Caenorhabditis elegans: one gene and its partner. The protein of the gene in region 1 interacts with the protein of each later gene in a pairwise test. Each region holds a gene or a part of one and is shown in the gene's direction. Other genes may lie near its edges. The genes, in order: nex-3 and ifb-1.

Region 1 (9,307 bases):
GTTATGATCTCAGGAGTATCCATAGTTGTTTCTGAATGCTGATTTGTCGAATCAAGCCAGGATTCGGAGATGAGAATATTGGAGTCATCATTTAACGCAGAAAATCTCGCGTCGTTTCTGTCGATGACTGTACAAGTTGAAGCAGCACTGGATGATTCATAAACTGATTCCGTTAAAATGAAATCTCCGGAAGTTGAAGCACTATCCGCGATACTTTGATTGTCGAACAAGAGCTGTCTTTCGAATGATGACTCGTTCAGAATTGTTGGATATTCTCCGGTGTCGGGCAGATTGTGATCCAAACTGATGGAATCGTTAATTAAGACAATGTTATTATCAGCAGCTGATAATTGACCGTTTGGATTGGTTCTTGCCAAAGCTCCGGAAACTTCGTAAGACAAATTGAGACTTCTGGATGGGTAATTCGTCGTTCTCGGATGCTCACGAACAGTTGAAGCCAGTTGCCGAACAACAAAAACAGGAACGTTTCTCTCCATCAAAACGCTGAAAGAAAAATAATTATCTCACAGATAATTCAAATAAAAATTACTAACAATTGAGCGTGGACCGTGAATTCTTGTGTCAGAGACATCGCTGCAGTGACACCATTCACATCGATAATCTTCTGCTCGAGGAGAGGACAGAGAAGCTCGTATCTGGAGGCGTTTTGAAATTTAACCGTAGTTCGAAGCTGAAAAGAAAAATGTTGTTATTAAAAGTTGAATAATATTCCATACCCATACGGAGCCATTCGTTATAAAATATGCTGGATCTTTTGGACTTTGAATAACGTGTTCAACGTGAATGGCATTCACAACGTCGTGACGGTTTCTCGGAACTCTGGAAATTCAATTATTAATAATGGATATCTCAGTTTTTACCTTACCTAACTCTGACCTTGTACGAATTCAGTAACAATTCCTCATTCTTCACATGTACACCATTAGCACAAAACAATACTCGGAATGGGATTGCAATGTAATCGATGCTCTGTTTGAAGCGATCAAACGAGTTACTTGACGGATCCAGAACTGCAAAATAAGTGCTCGTTTCATTGGAAATGTAGACGACTCGACAATCAACCATCTCGTCCTCTTCCTGAAATTAAAGCAATTAAAAATCACACAACAAGGAGCAGTATCAAGATTTAGTTGCTTTCATTTATCTTGGAGTCCTTTATATTATTTTTTCAAAGTATGTACCAGGCATAGATCCACAATCGTTGGCACGAAGGAGCCTTCTTCTTTCTGAAATTCCATTCGAAAATCGTAGAGATGACCGGCAGAAAGTTTATCACGGTACTGTTGTAAACCTCTGAACACTTTCCCGATATGTGGAACATTCATACTTGGAAAGTCTTGATTCTCCATCATACTGCGGCAGCTTGCATTCGCTTCAATCTGAAATATTTCAATTGTTTGACGAAACGAATGCTGGGTAACTCACGTATACTTTTCTGGTGATCTGATCAGTGATGACTTTCAGATTCGGCCATTCCGTTGAACGAAAACTGGAGAGTAACTCGTATGAGCAAGAGAAACCAAACGAATTTTCGGGGATACATCGTCTGAAGAAAATGATTTTATGATATTAACATACTTACCAATTACTCACTTTACGAGAATCACATGAACACTTCCGAGGGAAGGCATTGGAGTGTCAAGAGACGTGCTTGGTAAAATGGCGCATCCCATTTTCGGTGTCCAAAAAAGTGCTCCGTGATCATTTTCAGCGATAACGACTCCTTCCAAAACTCCATATACCATTGACTCGGCGATATAAGGCAAAGTCTGAAAAATCGGTTGTATATTTTGCTTTAAGGCTCTTAGCTCAACGTACGGTTTCTCTGTAGTAGAGCTCGAAAATGGGAGTAATTGGAAAATCAGCATAATATCTCCAATTGACAGTCACGCCGTTTTCAAAACTTATTGGCTCCCAGCATACGCCGATTCGATAAATAAAAGGAGTGTCGGTGTTTTGCAAATTTGATCTACTTGTGATTGAGGTTTGAAGCACACGAGTTGGAAGTACAATCTTTTGAAAGTCCGTATTCTCGTTCTCGATAATGCTGTAATCCATTCCATTTATTTTAAATGGATCTCTTTCTAGACATTCATTTGAGAAGTGCACAATAGCGAAGATCTGAAACAAGTTGATTGTAAAATGGTAAAATAATTCGATTTTCATACCACAACTTTGGAATTCACCACCGTTACATCACGAAACCATTCAAAACTGCCACATTGTGCGACAAGCTGAACATTTTAAATTGAGAAAGTTACTCATAATTAATATGATACCGATGGCAAAAAGCTGTTCGCGTGTTCAAATTTGGCTTTAACAGTTGCTCCTGGAGTCGGCGGAAAGTTAAACTTTTCCGAAGGAACGGTGATGCAACAATGATCACTGACAGATCCATCCAAGAATGCGACTCTCCACTGAAAATAATGATTTTACGAACTAATTAAAAATAATTAAAGAAAATACCTCAAACGAATCTCTGAGCTGATCAATCAAAACGCCGTATTTATAAAAATGCATTGTTTTGCGGTGATAATCATCGGCAAGTCACAGAAACTCGTAAATCTGAATTAAAAATGTTTTAAAGAAGTCCAAAGCAAATCTGAACACTTTACGCTGAAGATTTAACCGAATTTCACTATTTTCAAATTTAGAAATCACTTTTTAACAAAAAAATTAGCTAAATGAAAGCGAAAAATGGGAAAATCTCCGTTTGGACCGAGCAGGCATGCACTGGTGGCGTGGTGAGACCTGTGAACCGACATGCATGCACCTTTAAGTGTGACTGTAACCGGATTGAAATTTTCAGGCCTACAACGGTGGAATTAAAATTGTTGTGAAGACTTGTTCGTTTGGTGTAGACGATGATATGTCGAATTTTGAACTGTACAGAAATAAGCCATAAAACATTTTGATGCTAATTTCAAGTTTTTGCGAACCTAAGCAAATTCAAAGAAAAAAGGGCGGAGTTGGTCTGAAACTTCTCAGTTCTCACTTTCCAGCTGCTTCCAAAGTTTTTCCATGATATTTGGTCCTTTTGCCACTATATATGTAGTTTTTGACTATTTCCCCACAGGCGATACTCCTGCTTTAAAGAAAAATGTAATAATGACATTAAGTTTAAAAAATCCCAGATTTTGGTGATTTTTCCACTCTTGCTAAAATCTCCCATTGACAGTACTCCACCATCAAACAAGGACAAACTCAAGAAGTTTAAACAAACGATTCGAATGTCTATTTGTTTGAACTTTCTCCCAATTCTTTTTTTATTTACAAACACATTTCCTCATTCTTTCTTCCCATTTTTTATTATAGTTTTCGATGACTCTTTGCAGAAAAAAAAAACGAGAACTTTTGCTTGTTTAGTTAACATTTGAGATATTGAGACAGTTTGTTCTTCTATTTTTCAACATTTATATACGATATTTTTGAAGAATATTTTCTCTAAATTGATCTCAATTGTAATTCACAATAGAAGCCTATACATATCCTAACTAGCATCAATAATGTATAATTCCTTTTCAACCGTGACCATTTCAATTGAATTCGTTCCGAATATCCTCACTTTCTCTTTCAAAGTGTCTGCCAACCTTTTTGAAAAGACACGAAAATGATGATCTGTTCGCATTTGGGCAGGTATTTCACAAGTTTTTGCAATTTTATAGAACTTGGAATTTCAATATATCCGCAGAGCATTTATTTTGCGATTTTTGAGCAGAATTTTAAATAATAAGTTTTCATAATATTCTCAGACCTTTATATTTCTGTCAATTTTCGTGAATAATGTGATAGTGAAACATTCAAATTTCCTCACAAGTGTTCTGTAACAATATTCCCGAAAATTTTCGTGCAAGAATCTATTTTGCAAAAAAAAAAAATCAAAAGTCATATTAGGGGGACGCAAAAAACGCCTTTCGAAATCGAAAATCAATCTCGCCCCAACGCCAATTTTAAACGCTCCGCCCCTAAACATTGGGTCTCGTTAGGTAAAACCGTAAATTCAAGTTTTTTCCACTTTTCTGTTGCTTTTAATATTTCTTTTTAATTTTAAAATTAAGTTAAGAAGTGCATGATATAGTGACATGATATAGTGGGAAGAAAACGGTTTTTGATTCAATTTTAATTTTAATTTTTCATCATTTTTCACGCAAAATTCTAGAAAAATAACGAAAATGTTTGAATTTCCCAGAATACCTTAAAAAATACCAATGACAAATAATAAGCTATAATTTTTTTTGTAGCAAAATTGTTAAATTTTCTAATTGTCAAAGTTAGGAAAGTTTCCCCAAAAATTCTATTTAATTTCGAAATCAAAAGTATTTCAAAATTTCTTTTCTAAAATTCCACTGACTCATCATCACATCTCTTTTCTTTTCGAAGGTCTCTTTTTCGAAAAACCACTCCCTATTTTTGTGGACAATAAAAGTGTTCAGACAGTTTCAAATGACTCATCGCAGTTATTTCGTTCTCAATATATTTCTGCCTTATTTTCGAAGCATAACCAGTTATGAATCTCTTTCAATTTAATTTTATTTCCGTTTAAAAAGTAGGAATCAAAGATGAACTGACGTCAATTTTCCACTATTTTGCAGACTTCTTTTCAATGTTTCACAAATATTTACACTCATTGGTGGACGTAATACTTGAAACTTCCCTACGAAGAAAATAAATAAAAAATATTATCCAACTGCGAAATTACGAGAATCTTGAATTCTGCCAGCCTCATAGGGAGCTATTAGGCGTTTTAGGAAAATTAAAATATTTACTTTAAAAATCCTAAAAAAAATAAATCTGAAACGCTATCAATAAAGCATTCAGAAAGTACTGCACTTCCCACATTCTATAGATTTGCTCATAAAATTTGATGCATTGGCCGTGTTCACACATACTTGATACATCATATTTTACAAGCAAATTCGGTTCACTTTTTCTTTGTACTATATTGAACTGTCGTGTAATCCCTGATCCAAAAGTGCAAAATTCTTTACCACATTCAATTCTCCCATTATCCAAATACCTCAAAAAGTCTACCTGAAATATATACCTCAAAGTTCTAGAAAACCGACATAATGGCAACTGCAAAGATCCATTTCAAGCCGTATTTTGATGAGGTAAGCCTGTGGGAAACTAGTAAAGTTAAGCCGAAAATTGTAGGTTGCCGCCTCGGAGCAACTAGAGAAGGCTCTTAGAAACAAGGAGAAACTGAAGATTTTGGAAATCTTGGTTTCGGTTAATAATACACAGAGACAGATGGTAAGATTTTAATGGTAGGTAGGCATGCCTGCCTACTCACCTGCCTATGTCTAAAAGCTCCATATTTCCAGATCCGCACACCCTACAAAACTCGTTACGGAAAGGATTTGGAAGATGAAATCAAAAAAGCATTTTCTGGAGATTTCGAAGATTTTCTCGTTGCTCTACTTCAAACTCCTACTAAACTAGACGTGACTGAGCTGAATCGATCTGTGAAGGGTCTTGGAACAAATGAGAAAAATTTGATCGAAATTCTGACAACTAGGACTAACGAGGAAATTGAAGCGGCGAAGTTAGTTTTTAAAAAGTTTTTCGAAATTAGAAGCTTGAAGTCAAAACTAAATTTTACAACAACAGAAACAATTGGGAAGTAGGCATGGTATAGACATCAGGCGGGAACGTGAAAACACATAGGTAGGCAGCGATTTGGTGCAGAGTAGGCACTTAGGCAGGCATAAGGTAGGTCCGTGGGTAGACAAACATAACCCAGACAGCACTATGGTTATGAATAAGGCATAGGCAGACAGTCTTGATGTAGGTCCCGAAGCAAGGTATAACGTAGGCACGCAGAAAGGCGGAGATTTCAAAAGTATGAATCAGTCGTAATTCCTGTGCGTAGGCTTTTGAAAGCTAGTTAGGTCTCCCGAAAACGAACCCAATGATAATTTTAAAGTTGTTTTCTAGAAAATGTCCTTAAAAAAATTAATATCAACATATGTTTTTTCTAGAAACACTTACTTCATGACTTACTCCAAATCATTGGAAGATGCAATTTCTGCTGATACTTCTGGAGACTTCCGGCGTCTTCTCATTGTCATTCTCCAAGCAAAACGCGAAGAAGGTGGATTCGCTGATACATTCAAAGTTGGGCCTCACGCTGCTCAAATTCTGAAAAGTTTTGACAAAAAGTCTGGAGTCGAAAAATTCGATGCGTTCAAGATCTTTGCAACATGCAATGGAGCTCATATTCAAAAAGTTATTGAAGAAGTCGAGAGACAATCTGGAAAAGAGTTCCAGAAACTTATTGACAAGGAGCTCAGCGGAGATTTCAAGAATTTGGTGTTGTCTCTTATTGAGACTTCGAGAAATAAGCCTCGATATTTTGCAAATTCGATTCATTTGGCAACCAAGGTAGGTGCAAGATATTTGAAATCTTAGTTCAGAGAAATTTGACTTTAGGTAAATGACAAAAATTTCCTGATTTGATTTAAACATTTATCTTTTTGTTACATGTAGGAACTTTCACAAGTCTACACACATATCGTGCTTAACTTCCTACGTAGGCACGGAAGTAGGCACAGAAGTAAGCAATGTAGTAGGCACGCGTGTAGGCGTAAGGCTTTAGATAAAATTAATCAACTATGAAGATATAGGAAAAGAGTTAAACTAAAGCTGGTAACGCTAAAAACATTCTAGATAAAAACCCTCAAAGTTCAGGAAATATTCATGTTTTCAGGGAATGGGAACACGTGACAAGGATCTTATTCGTATTCTGGTATCCCGATCGGAAAATGATTTGGTGATCATTGAACACGAATTTCAAACTCTTTTTGGAAAACCATTGACTCAGGTGAGCCTATCAAGTAGACTGATATTACCTGCAACGTTTACGCCAAAATGTGTACTGAAAATAGAACAAAAAATATGTTGATATTTCCAAATACAGTTCAAAATACAAATTTCTATTTAAGATCCCCAGAGCGATGTTCGTAATATTTTCTATAGAAAACCATATTGGTTTCTCTTTATAAATTTCATAAAATTGCAGCTAATCAAGGAGGAGTGCAAGGCAGAATACCGTGATGGTTTGACGATGCTTGTCAAGGGAAATCCAAGACCTTAGAAAATGAAATACAAACTATCGATTAAAATGCTTTCTGTTTGAAATTGCTTTACATTGAAACTACTTTATAAAATCTATTTCTAAACGTTTTTATTTTAATAAAAGTTTGAAAAATGACAAGCGACAATTCCAAAAAGTGCTCACAAAGTTTTCTTGAAAATTAGCATTACATGTCCCACGTTCAATGCTGGTCAACATCCCATTATAAATTTCTTATGATTTTCGAGCAGCTGACATCTCCCGAGTCGGTTAGAACAGAACAGGACCTGAAGCAATTGTACCTCAAAACCCCGATTATTAATCGAAATATTTTTCTATAGAATTTCTGATTAGACTCATTTAAAAGTCTGTTAAACTAAATGCAGAAAAATATTTATTTCACTGTAGAACAATGTTTCAATTAATGTGCCAGTCCATAATTTTGGCCATTCTCTGTTTCATCACGAACTCTTGATCTTTTTAAGATTCTCCCCTTGAATCAAATTCAAAAATTTGTTATGTAGCAAAACTGCAGACTATAATTATCCATAAGGTCCCCTCCCGACGCCTTTTCCGTTTCCTTTTAGATTCCATTTCTTTTGTTCTTCATAGTGACCCTCACATGGATCGAAAATTGGCGTGTTCCTCGTTCATCGGCATTCGATTCCTATTCATTCAGGCTCTATTTTGCAATAATTCAAACCATCTCTCTATGTCTTGTCGGGGAAGAAGAGGTCATGGTGGGGTTGAATTTCCTCCCTTTTCCCACCGTAATTCAGGCGCCGTTCCGTCGATTCCGCCATTTCACCGCCGACACACACACGTTGAAATGATGGAAAAACCCCTTTTGATGAGAGGAACGGGCGGTATGTGAAAACAGACTGATGAGTGATTTATTGAGAAAATGTCAATGAAATTTAGTGTTGAAATTTTGGAATTTGTGACAGGCAGGCAGGATCCTGGCGCCTACCTGCCTGCCTGTCGTGTCTTGTCGGCGTTTTTTTTCAACATAAAAGTTAGAGTTTAAAATTTTAAAAATCGCAAAAATTGAAAATTTTTAAGCGTTAAAATTATAACTTTAGTTTAAACAACTTTAGACGAAAAATTCAAATTTTTAACTTTTCAAAAAACATTTTTGTTCGGGAATTTCAAAGTGTTAATTTTTAGAAAATTATTTGGCATAAAAAATTTATAATAAAATTGTTTAAAGAATCATGATTTAAAAAAAGCTAGCATTTGAACAAAAAAAACAATTTCTAAATATTTTTCCCTACAATACATCTACCGTACCACTATCATATCTACAGTAAAATATCAAATCCGCTGCTAACTTTAAGAAAAACTCTTTATATTTGCAAAATAGTATGAAGATTTTAATTTTTTATTCACTAAAAGTACAATTTACAGTAAAAAAGATAGTATATCAATATGATAGGAATCTAATTATAAATAAAAAAGACGGGCACCCGGTTGGCCGTTGGATTAAAATGAAAAGACGAAAAAAACTGGAATCGGTGAAATTGAGTTGAAGACATGAGGAAGGGAAAGAAAGTTTTAAAGAAATGAGGAAAAGCACACAGGTTGAAGGGAGTTTTAAAGAAGATCGGTAGAGATCTGAACAGTTAAAGTAAGTTTTTTTTTCAGAAGTAAGTATTCAGAAAGTAAACTGGCTCTGATCTCAAGGAATCGCGCCAAAAATCTAGTTTTCCGCGATTTCTAGAGATCAAACGGGACCTTCTGAATACATCATTTATTTGATAGAATCATTCAATTCAGCTGGGATTTCATTTTAATTGAATTTAAAATGTTACATTAAATTTAAATTTTTAAAAAATTGAATGAAAATCTCAAACAAATGTCTAAAATGATAATAAAGTCTTCTACACCTGAAAATGAGGGTTTTGGAAGGCATTTGAAAATGTAAAAATGAGCAGACTATCGCCGAATCTTGCAGGGGCACTAATATGGTGTAGCCGATGAGGTCAGATGATGCGGTGATTTATATGTTGGGTTGGTAGAGCTGCAAAATTTTCAGATTATGGAAAAGTTTTACTTTATTATTGTGTGCCTACTTGCCTGCCTACGTGCCTACCGCCTATTTTTTTTACTGCAAGTCGCATTGTAGGTAGAGAAGCAGGCGGCTTTGTATTTTGTAAAAATTAGACAGAGAATTGCAAAGCTCAGAAGAACCAAGTTTTTCTTTACGGTTCT
Region 2 (12,401 bases), on another chromosome or scaffold:
TACGACGACTTGATACGTACCTCGTGCCTACTTGCCTACCTCCCCATATGTTTGCCTAATTCCCGTATTTTTCAACGTCCGGCATTTTCTGGTTTCTCGAGTAATTTCAAAAAGGAATCAGAAGCCAATTTTTTGGCACGCTGCAGGTGGACATTTTCATGCCTCCGGAAAGTTACACTTTCAATTCTTACAAACTTGACAAATCACATAGAAACTCGGAAATTAAGCTTTTGTAAATAATACTTTCTGAACACTTTCTTAGAACAAATTAAAAATTGAAAACCCGGAATTATCTTTTTTTTTCTCAAACCTAATAAACTAACAACAACTTTTGTCAACAGTTTGTTTCTTTTCACAACTATGCCGTAAAACTGGTTACAAAATGATGACGAGTGTCCAGACGACACCAATTAGAAGGCGTTCCTCTCGCCTCTTTTTCTTCATTTTTTTCACTCTTTTTTTGCGTGTCCTCCTTTACATAAATAGAAGAGGAAGGGACACACCCATTTGAGTCATCAAAAGGCAACGAAAAATGAAGATGAAAAGTATAAATGGTTGGATTTTGTTGCGTTCCTTGCATATTATTGTGTTCATTTGTTCCTGGCAAAACCTGGGTCTTCCTTCTCAATATATTATTTTTTGAAAACTAATTTTTGGTGATTAAAGAAACCTACAGTACCGTTTCATAATTTTCGTTCTTTCGCTATATTCTTCTAAATTTCAATCCAAAAGCTAAGCACTCACAGTTTTCCGATTGAAATCAAGCAGGTCATTCACTTCAATTCAGTTCTCGCATTTGAACTGAACAGCCTCTCACTCTCTGTGTGTGTGTACAGTACAGGATTACATTTTTATTTGCATTTTCCACAACAATTATTATTCAGTACTGGGTTTCAAGTTGATTCTAGTTTAGATTGATGAGGTGAAAGATGGAAAAAGTTTGAAGTTCTAAAATCGAGCTTGAGCTGAAATATAGTTTATCAGTAAACTTTGGTTTATTCCTAGAATGATGTGCACCCGTTTTAGCTTTTACAGCTCATTTTCTGTTCTTTAAAACATACAATGACCTTGAAACTTTTCATACAGATGTGCAAAACTTAAAATATCTGTAAATGAGCTCCCTGAAGAATAACCAATTTTCTCTTATTTTGTCTCATGGTTTCATAAGTTCAAGATTTTGATATGATTAGCTTCCATCTAGACACTTATAAGACAGGGATAACTTATTTTTAGACTTACGCTTCACCTTAAAACATTGAAAAATTATACAGTCACCGGGATCTTAATCTGAACAGTAGACACGCAATGAGGCTTAATTCCTTTTTGTACAGTTTTCGGCTCAAATTTCTTCTACTGTAAATATAAATATTTTGTAGCTCGAATATTCCCTTTACAGTTTTTCATGACTACTCATCACTACTAAAGTACTTTTATAACGTCATGAACGGTGTCTGTAAGTGTTCAAAACCCAATTCTATACAAATTTCTTTCACCTCTGCCCGCCTCCTATTCATTTCAAACCCAATTATCATCCTTCGTGGTTTTTTCCTCCTTATTCCTCTTCTCCATCTGTTTTTGCCCGTTTTCCTCGTTCCGATTCCTCTTCGCTCCGAATCTGCGGAGTATCGACGAAAATTGGGCGTCGTCCCGTTTCTGAATAGGAAAATGGTTAGACTTCGGGTGAGGACGGTAGAAAAGAAGAAAAAAAACGAAGAATCGAATCCAGTTGAAACGCAAGAAAAAAGGAGAAAAGCGGAGAAGAAGAATGAGGAGGAGGACGTCGACCAACCGTAAAACGCCCCCATCACTTTTGACTTCAATTTGCTTTTTTCAAGGTTTAGCCCCTCGTGTCTTCCATAACACATCCTTCGAGAAATCGTTATTTTAATTTATTTGTTTTTTAAACATCTAAACTATTTCCTCATTTGCAAAATTCAAATAGTTCATAAAAACAAAAATACAAAACCCCACCCGTAAGACGACATAAAACTGAGAACTATGCCTAATCCATCAGTTTCATTTTTCTCTTTCTTTTTTTCATCGAAACCATCTATTGAAAACCAGTAGACTCATAGTATTAATTGGTAGAGGTTCAAACTGCACCAAAAAAAATCAGTAAAAAAAAGGCAGAACAACAAGAGCGATAGTTCCTAGTCTGTAGAGTCTGTAGATGATTAATTGAAATTGGATTTATTCCTTTCTGAATTTCAAAATTTGTTCGTTATTGTATTATTAGATGGGTCAACGTTATGTAGCCTTCTATTCATTCAAAAAGCTCACCCGCCTGCATACAGGCGCATTGAGACCTACCCACTTAGCCGGGAAGAAAGCTATCATATCGGCTATAATTTTTCAATGCTAAATGAGCGCATGATGCCTACCCGCCTACCAGTAGACTTACTTACCTTCCTACCTACCTCCTTGCCTATCTCTCTTGCAAGCAGAGTCGTACCTGTAGATAGGCGGGTAGGCATATTTGTGCATGCTAGTTTTCACATTTGCCTCGAGATTAGAAATTGGCCTCAACTTACCGTATTCTTCCTATTAGACTTGTATCTTCTGGTTCTACTTTGGCAGAATATATCTCGGTTGCTTTAAATTTTATCAATAAATTGTCAACTACCAAATATGTACCAAATATGTCTCTATATTTTGGTTGTAGAGAATTTTTTGATAACACTTGAGACAATTGGAAAATAGGCCGTCAAAGTAGAGTAATTGTGGTGCAGACTTTGTAGGGAAAATACGGTATGCCTCAGCTTTAGTACTGGACGGCGATAATTTTAAACTATTTTTTTACAGGTTTCAATGTTTACAAAACTTGTTTACTGACAATGAGTTCTTAATTTTTTTACCACAGCCCAACATTAAAAATGCAAAACCTTAGCCAGCACGGAACATTTTCGTAGAACTATTTGATCACTTGTACCTCCAATCTTGTCATCATTCTCACCCATAAATGAAAACAAAATGTTAACAATGTCTTATTCTCCCCCTCTTCCAATTCCCTCACTAACATCTCCTCATTTTTCCATTTCAAATCATTTCTCTCTTGTCCTTGACTGTGATAATCGGCCACTTCCTATGAGGTAAAAGTAGTCGTCATCTCTTCTAAATTCTCTCGGAATACGCCTATACGCCAAGCGCATCATTTCAAAAAGTGAAGCGCGCAGAGAGAAAAAAGAAGGAGGAACGCAAATAGCAGCTCGTTTTTCGACGGTTCGGCAACAAAATGGGGGCGGAGCAATTGGTGGGGGCGCTTCTCAGGGCCTCTGCCTCATCGACCCCCGGCGCAACAGACCGTCCTCACAATACCCTTTCGGTATTCTGTAGGAATGCTTGTGTGTGTGTGTCTTTCCGATTTCATTTTTTTCGCTTCACTTTTTTACTCCGAGCAGAGCAGGAGCACTGTGTCTTTTTCTACTTTTATTCACTCCACCCCAAAGTTACTTTAAGCTTTCTAAACTATCGTGAATGAGTAACCGAATGGTTTAGGATTTCAAGTAGTGTCAATTAGAACTTGGTCATACAATTACTCAATAAATTTCCAACTTTATGACTCACTGAACACCCACATGTTTCTTCACATCTTTTGCTAGTTTTATTATGATTTTAAGTTTGAGTCAACAAGCTTTAGGTATGAAAATATGAATACTAAAATTAAAAAAAAAACAGCAATTCATTTTCAAAATCATTCATAAAAGTTGAAAACTTTACGAAACAAAATGCAACATAAATTTCGCTGTCCCACTTTTTTTAGAAAGTTTTTCAGATCTGAACAATTAAGTCTTTAAAGGAGATAGGCATGAAATCATTCCTTTTTGCCGGCTTTCGTACTTGGTTGCATCCTATTTTTCCTGTGAATTCTAGTAGGTTTCGTGCCTACCTAGAAGGTTTTTATTATTTTGCGATCATTTCACGTTGCTCGAAAAAAACAATTATAAGAAGCATTTACTGTAGTCTGCAGAAATAAAAAAAAATCAAGATAATCTTTTAAAAAAATCATGAATAAAATCATTTAACTTCCATCATTTTCTCGTCATTTTCCACCCAATTCTTGCAAATTTCCCTGCACAATGCGCGAGAAATTCAATCTCTATTGTTCTTCCATCTAACAATTCTCCGGAATGTGCTTGGGTGTTTCAATTTGTTTGACAGGTTAACGTTGACTCACCATCATGTCCTTCCACCCATATTCAATTCTGATTTCCATGAACAAAAATGGGCGTGTTCAGTCACTCCTCCTCCACCTTATTTGTTTTCTGTTTTTTTGTGGAGTGTACTCAAAAAAATGTTGAACATATATATGAGTGTGTATGTTTGTTGAAAACCGGCCACGCTTATTTGGGTTTTGATAAGGAACAAATTGGATGCCGAAGGATGCAGAAACATTTTTTTTTATCATATTGTTGTTTTAAGGTTTAACACTTTTTATTAAAATTTGTAATTGTTACTTTTTGCTCAGTTTTCTGTATTTTCCCAATTCAGCTTCTATATTTTCAAAAAAAAAATTTCAGGTAGCGTCAAACTTCTGAAAGAAGATGTCGTCTCACAAGGAATCTTCCGAGTACGAGATGCAATACAGATCCACCATCCAGCCAAGAACAGCGGTTCGCTCTCAATCACGTCAGTCTGGAAACTACGTGTCTGGTGGAAATGGAGCAGGATCCGGAGGTTAGTTAGATTTTAAAAAAATTTAAAGTTGAAAACGGTAAAGATTAAAAAAAATTTCAGCTATTACTATATCCTTTCCTCTGAAAATAATCATCAATACCAGGAGCATTTCTTGTTTCAAATTCTTGATTTGAAATCCGGATAGTTATATATCTTTTAAAAAAATTTCCTACTGAAGTCTAAGCTTCAGAGATCACTCAATTTCCAACGTATTTTCTATACTTTCCTGTTAGATTGAGAGTTTCAGAATATACTTTTATTTTTTCAAAAGTAGTAAACCTTCAAGCTATTTTTCTCCTGGACCGGTCTTATAGATGACCTTAATTCAAGTTGACACTATACATCCGATCAACTATTAACTGAACCAATATTCCAATATTCTTTTTTCCTTTCTTTCTCTATTTCTCTGTTTACATGTTTATCCGTCTACTACCCATCCATAATTATGTATTTGAATTCAAAGCGAATTAGTGAACAGTCGCATCAATCGAACCGAACACTTTATTCTCTCTCTCTCTCTCTCGTTCATCCGATTGCAAAAAAATAGTTTGGGTGGTTTTATTAATCAATTGGAAGATGAAGTAAATATTGGTTTTTGCTGTGCTATACAATAGAAATGAGGATGGAAATATAGACCTGGAGGATGAAAAGAAAATATAAAAACGAGAAAAAGAGAGCAAGAGTCGTTATCAGTGCGAACGCGTTGATTTGTTCTTGGCTAAACGAAACGTTTTTGAGAAAGGTGAACAGTTTGGTAGAGGATAATATTTTGAGCAGGGATTTTACATTTTTTCTACTCGGAGTTGATCCAAAATCTTCTGCTTAAAAATATCACTTAAAATCAATTATTTTCGAAATTATAAAAGTTAAAAGATAAAAAGTAATACTTTATGCCTTTAAATGCAATTTTTAATTTAATGAGTTTTCTTAATATTTGCTCACTTGGCAAGAAACCACACTTTTTCATAGTTTAACAAAAATCTAGAAACAGGTTTTTATGAAGTGAAATTTCTGTGAATAAATGGGGGAATTCCTCAAAAATTAAACAAATATTAATATTTTTGGAGTTTTGAGGCAAAAATGGGGAAAATTTGAAATTGGCAATTTTAGCATAAAATGTCAGGATAATTAAAACTTCAAAAACTGCAGTCGAAATATATTTAATTAAAAGCTAAAAACAGTTTTTAACAGTAAAAATTTGAAATTGAAAATTGTTTGTTAAGTCAGAGATTTAGGTACGTAAACTTACTACATAGTATTAGCTTCTTATAACTTGCCGTAAGCCTACGCACGTATCTGCTGCCTAAACACAAGTTATCTTTTATGTTTGTAATTTTTAGTTGTTCTTTGAGCAAGTTAACTCACTGTGAAAATAGAAAATAGGCAGGCATTACCATAACAAAAGAAAAATTGTTCTTTTTTATTGTTTTAAGCAAATCTGGAGATCAAGATCAAAATATAAGACCACAAGATTTTTTTCCGGCAGCCCATATCGTTTCCTATTCAACCGTCATTAAATCCACTTTTTCTCATCCAAAAAATCCCATAAATCTCTGGGTTTTCTCGTCTCTCGATACAGTCTCACAATTAGCATAATCACTGAGGAACGCCCTTCATTTTCAAACCAAAAATCTATTGAATTTAAAAGTTCAAGTTCCATCAAGTTTATAGTGCATGACAGAAAGAGTTGTTAGGCAAATAGTCTTCAACTATGCATATACATAAAAATGGCAACATTTTTGGAAATAAAATGCAAAAAGCAAATAACAGATTGAAAGAGGCACCAAAATTTCAGACAGTTTTAAATACAATATTTCAATTTTCGTAACCAGTTGAGATAACATGTATAAAAAGATACATTGAGCCGATTAAGTCAACAAAATGTTTAGTTTGTTGTTTCTTGGGCACACTTTCCGCCAGCCGGCTGACTGCTCAACACACTTGAAAACTTGACGGACTTTGAAGAAATCCGAGCTTTTATTGATTTTATTCATCATTTATTTTAATTTTGTTTTTTTTTGGGTAACGAATTAAAATTAAAAGAATCCCCTGAATAACTTTTAATTTAGAATACAGTTACGAAATAGATGAGAAATAGGTGAGAAAGGAAGGAATGACCACACCCAAGATGTGACTATTTTGAATGATGAGAAACTGAGACATGGAAAACACCCATTTTTTATGTGTGATTAGTCATTTAGTTTTAATGAGTGAGAATTGGGTGGAACAGTGACAAGAACTTATTATACTGATTATCACTTGATTTATGAGATCTTCTCGGATAGAATCTCGGATTTCTCCGATTTATTGCAAGATGGTGTAGAGTTTTTTTTTTCAATTAGAAATGTCCCATCTTACATTTAAGTTGTCAAAACTAATTTTTTAACCAATTTTGTTCTAACTTGAGATAAGTCAATTTTTGCGGCCCGTGTTTCAAGATTCTTAAACTTAAAAACATTTTTGAGGACTGGAAATGATGTTTTTCTTAATTGAATTTCTATCAAATTGACAAAAATAAAACAGGTACGTTGGCCTAAAAATAAGCCTTCCTACCATTAGATTTAGTTTCTGAAACAAAAATATCTCCCTTACCAAAAAATGTCAAAAATGGAATCCTAGTTAAATTAATTAGCTTCCCCGCAATTTAAAAAAGATAACAAAAATGAATGATTGAGATCTGATCAAGATGATTATCTTTAGTTGACTCCGCCCACAACAACCTTGACGTATTCTTCATCTTCAATTTCTAAGTAAGTAGTGTCTTGATCTCTTTCCACTTTTCTTCCAATTTATCCATTCATTCATAGGCACAGTCAACTCGCAATCTGTACGTATGTGTACATGTCCGTTGTCTTCAACTTATCACCATTATATCTTCTTCTCTTTCTCCATTTTCTATCATCGGTGATGATCGGGAAGGCAAAACCATTGACACACCTTCATTCTTTTTCTCTAAGTTCTCCACAAATTTAATGCTATTTCTTCGTTGGGTGGAGTATTCAGAAGAGGGTCAGAATTGGTCGACGGTTTCCGTTATTTTGCATAGTGTTTGTGACACTTACATTTAGTTTCTATACCATTTGTTTTTCATTTTTCATTCAGAAATTTTCGAACTTGTTCCTCATTATTTTTTTTCCCTTAATCTTCTAGAAAAACTTTAAAATTTCAAGCTAAAACACATCAGAAATGGAGGCTGAATCAGCGCCACAGGCACCAATGTCAGGAGGTAAGAATAGAAGAATATCGAAATATAAATTCCCAATAGAAATATAAAAACACTCAAATCAAATCTAATCTCCTAATTATCATTATAAAAACGTTCAGGACGCGTGCTAAAGATGGTGACAGAGATGGGATCAGCTACAGTCGGAGGAATTTCACCGGCCTTGTCCGCAAACGCAGCAAAATCGTTCCTTGAGGCGACTGATAAGGAAAAGAAGACACTGCAGGGACTCAATGATCGTCTCGGAAATTACATTGATCGTGTCAAGAAACTCGAAGAGCAGAACCGTAAATTGGTTGCTGATTTGGATGAGCTTCGCGGAAAATGGGGAAAAGACACATCCGAGATTAAGGTATTTTAGTGAATTTCAAATAAATTTTAAGCAAGCTTCTGCAAGCAAAAAACTGAAGTAGTTGTAGAAAAAACATTTATTATTTGATTGTGAATCAGTAATTTCTATTTAGATATATATTCGAAACTTTCAAGATTTTATTTACTATATTAGAGAATTCTCTCAAACATCCTTAAAATCTTCAACTTACCAGAAGAAAATCTGTGCGCTTCCTGTCCAGTGTTTTTTTAAAATTTCAACCTATATTTTGGAACAAACTTCTTAAAGCTTCTTTCCTATTCAAATTGTTAATTTCAGATCAAATACTCCGAATCCCTCTCAACAGCTCGTAAGGACATTGACGATGCTGCTCGTAGAAAGGCAGAGGTTGATGTGAAAGTTGCCAGACACCGTGACGACTTGGCTGAGTACAGATCCAGGTTTATTTATTCTTAATTTTCTGTTGCTTATCAATATTTATTCAGATACGAAGATATCCAGCAACGCCGTGAGTCCGATCGCGAGAAGATCTCCCAATGGACCAATGCTATCGCTGATGCTCAATCCGAAGTTGAGATGCTCCGTGCTCGTTTCAAGCAATTGACAGATGAGGAGAAGCGTGTTACAGCTGACAACTCGAGAATCTGGGAAGAACTTCAGAAGGCCAGAAGCGATCTTGATGATGAGACCATTGGCAGAATTGACTTCCAAAATCAAGTGCAGACTTTGATGGAGGAGCTCGAATTCTTGAGAAGAGTTCACGAACAAGAGGTTAAGGAACTTCAAGCTCTCCTTGCTCAGGCTCCAGCTGACACCAGAGAGTTCTTCAAAAACGAATTGGCTCTTGCCATCCGTGATATCAAAGATGAGTATGATATCATTGCCAAGCAAGGAAAGCAAGACATGGAGTCCTGGTACAAGCTCAAGGTTTCCGAGGTTCAAGGATCTGCCAACCGTGCCAATATGGAGTCCACCTACCAGAGGGATGAGGTCAAGAGAATGAGAGACAACATTGGAGATCTCCGCGGAAAATTGGGAGATTTGGAGAACAAGAACTCACTTTTGGAGAAGGAAGTTCAGAACTTGAACTACCAATTGACCGACGATCAAAGACAATACGAAGCTGCCCTCAACGACAGAGATGCTACATTGAGAAGAATGCGTGAGGAATGCCAAACATTGGTTGCTGAGCTTCAAGCTCTTTTGGATACCAAGCAAATGCTTGACGCCGAAATTGCCATCTACAGAAAAATGCTCGAGGGAGAAGAGACCAGGTAATTATTATCGTTATTTAATCAATATTCCCAGCAAGCCAAATTTTGGGCAGTTTTGTTATCATTTTGTTCTAAAACCTTTCTCAAAAGTTTCAAAAATATATTTGCAGAGTCGGACTCACCCAAATGGTTGAGCAAGCCGTCAAGACGCATTCTCTCCAACAACAAGAAAACACTGATTCGACAAGATCAGTTCGCGGTGAGGTATCCACCAAGACCACCTTCCAAAGATCCGCCAAGGGAAATGTGACAATTTCCGAGTGTGATCCAAATGGAAAGTTCATCAAGCTTGAGAACTCGCACAGAAACAAGGTATGTTGAAGCTTTTTGGTTTTGAAATGTTGAAAATTTTATTTCAGGATGAGAATGTTGGTGAGCACAAAATCAGAAGAAAGTTGGATGGAAGACGCGAAATTGTCTATTCCATTCCAGCCAATGTTGTTATCAAGCCAGGAAAGAACTTGACCGTAAGTTATTTTTATCATTGTTTTAGAAAAAAGTGTGTAGCTATGTAAATATTCTTAGTATTTTTTTAGTCTGCCACTATATTTTTGAGAAACCCAGCCAACATAGTCTGAAGCCCGTTAAAAACGTACTTTCACCTGAAAATTTCCAAAAAAAAAATTTTGAAAGGGAATGGCCAAATTTTGCTAAAATCTGAAATTTTGTGAGATTGTCCATGTAGCAATATCGGAAAATCAGTTGTTATTTCTCTAATGCTCTTTATCAGAGTTACAGGTTTTAGAAATTTGAAAATGTTTTCCCCAAGTTTTGAGCCACCATAAGAAATTTGGAAACATTTTCTGAGAGGTCTCATTATGAAATTTAATCGTTTCGGGTTAGTCTAAGGGTTTCTCGCATTTGCTGAGAAACTAATCTACATAATTTCGAAAAGAGAATATTCCAATTCCAATAAATTTCCAGATCTACGCCCGTGACCAAGGAGGCATCAACAACCCACCAGAGTCTCTTGTCTTCGATGGAGAGAACACCTGGGGAATCGGAGCCAATGTTGTGACGTCATTGGTGAACAAGGATGGAGAGGAGCGTGCAACACACACCCAGAAGACCATCCAATCCGGACAATAAGCTCTCATTATTTTTAAACAACTTTTTCTCTTTTAAACAACTCCCCAAAATCACTCAAGTTCTCTAGTTTCTGTCCATAATTTTCTTATTATTCTTGATGATAGACCTTCTCGACATTTTTTCTTTAAATTGATTCATTGAAACTGCCTAAAACTGACCAAAATATTGAATTGATTTGCTTAAGACTCTTCACTTAAAATCGCTAATCTGAAATTCATTTTAAAAAACATCAAAAAAAGAACAAAAACGTTTGCAATTCTTTTCATAATACACTGCTTTTCCCGTTCAAACTTCAAGTGTTTCCCCCCGCTCATTTTCCACCGAAAAATCTTTCTATTCAATGTTTTCTACTTCTTTTTCAATTTTAATAAGATTTTTTATTCAGTTTAGTTTTTTTTAATTGAAGACAAATCATAAATACAATTTTAAATGTGACCATATAAAAATATACAAAGTATTGGAACTCTGATTCTGACGATAAGAAAAAATATTCAATTTCTCAAAATGTTTTATCATTTTCTCGGTATTCTTCTTCGGCTTCCTCATTTTTCATTAAACGATGACTGTAATCCAATGGAGCAGTTTGTGGGAAAATTGTGCTCGGTGATGACGTGGCAATTGTTGGCTGGGCTGAGAAGAACGCTGGTGGAGCTGCGAGGCTCGCAGCAGATGCGAAATCTGACATTGATGGAGTTCCGAAGAAATGCGGCATCACTGAAAACACTGAAAATAAGTTTAATTTACGAAATAATATTGAATAAGCTCTCTTACTCGGAAATCTCATGAATGGTCTTCCATACACAGGATTGAACATTGGCATTGAAGAGTATCCATTTGGTTTGAAAACTGGACTTGTTGGAATCACTGAGCCACTGGTATTTGGTGTTGATTCAGATGAGAGCTCAGGTGGGGAAGAAGTGCTTACAACAGTTTCAGAACCTGTTGGAGAGCTTGGTGAACTCCGTTGTCCCTGTGAGTCTTCGTATTTTTCTTCTGAAAGGTAGTGCAAGGTTAGTTAAGGTTAATCTTTTAAATGAGAGCAATTGACTTGTAAAGTGCTAATCTAGATTAATCCCATCAATATTGTGAATAGCTTATCCCTCTCAAATGCATCTGCTTCTCGTAAAGCTTACAGTGCTCTCTAGCTAATTGACTTACGCAACCAGGTACGGGGATTATGGAGATGGGGTAAAAGTGCACCTGTTTCCGAATACGCAAAAAGTTTAGCACGAGTGGGGTTCGAACCCACGAGGTGTTATCCACCATTGGAACTTAAGTCCAACGCCTTAACCACTCGGCCATCGTGCTGGCCATTCGACGCGGCGCTCCGTAGCCTTCACATTACTGCGGGAAGAAGAGAGCGCACTCTCATTTCTCTGTCTCGAACAGGCTGTCATGTCGACTCACCAGTATTATTATTGTTGTTGGTCGTCGGAGAAGCGTGGTTTTTCCCGTGATGTTCACCGGCATCGAGACGAAGAATATCGAGGAGATCATTCGCTAAAAAATAGAAATTAAATAAAAAGTTAGCGTGTTATTCTATAAAAAAAGAGAACAATGTGTCATTGTAGAAGGTGTGTGAGCATACAAAGATGACCCTAATGAACTATTAGTATTGTAACAAGTATAGGTCATATTAGTGTCAGGTTACCCAATAGTTAGTCTAGCACCTCGAGCACAGCGGGAAGCTTGTTCAAGACACAACTTGAATGAAAAATGACCGGAAATACTTGATCGGGAAAAACACATGCACTGATTCAGCACCAGCATTCCACAGCTTAATCCCCGAATATTTAAATAAGCTGACTTA

What was found.
Region 2: the proteins of nex-3 (region 1) and ifb-1 interact in a two-hybrid assay, tested with the Caenorhabditis elegans proteins (one large-scale study listed by BioGRID).

What each region holds. Positions count from the first base shown.
Region 1 is NC_003281.10:4,437,003-4,446,309, forward strand, and holds nex-3 (Annexin), read left to right. Parts: upstream 1-5,078; 5' UTR 5,079-5,090; coding exon 5,091-5,132; intron 5,133-5,175; coding exon 5,176-5,274; intron 5,275-5,345; coding exon 5,346-5,566; intron 5,567-6,002; coding exon 6,003-6,405; intron 6,406-6,730; coding exon 6,731-6,844; intron 6,845-7,042; coding exon 7,043-7,117; 3' UTR 7,118-7,235; downstream 7,236-9,307. Other genes in the region: C28A5.2 (REJ domain-containing protein), read right to left, coding at 1-504, 555-691, 738-840, 887-1,098, 1,203-1,400, 1,447-1,567, 1,615-1,790, 1,840-2,142 and 3 more.
Region 2 is NC_003280.10:5,761,101-5,773,501, forward strand, and holds ifb-1 (Intermediate filament protein ifb-1), read left to right. Parts: upstream 1-4,517; 5' UTR 4,518-4,541; coding exon 4,542-4,674; intron 4,675-7,121; exon of another isoform or gene 7,122-7,245; intron 7,246-7,844; exon of another isoform or gene 7,845-7,860; coding exon of another isoform or gene 7,861-7,900; intron 7,901-7,998; coding exon 7,999-8,249; intron 8,250-8,546; coding exon 8,547-8,668; intron 8,669-8,713; coding exon 8,714-9,502; intron 9,503-9,612; coding exon 9,613-9,814; intron 9,815-9,861; coding exon 9,862-9,969; intron 9,970-10,426; coding exon 10,427-10,591; 3' UTR 10,592-10,984; downstream 10,985-12,401. Other genes in the region: Doublesex- and mab-3-related transcription factor dmd-5, read right to left, coding at 11,091-11,314, 11,363-11,584, 11,999-12,091. UniProt on the Caenorhabditis elegans protein: Cytoplasmic intermediate filaments provide mechanical strength to cells. Essential protein, involved in attachment structures in epidermal cells that connect muscles to the external cuticle. Required in morphogenesis and epidermal integrity.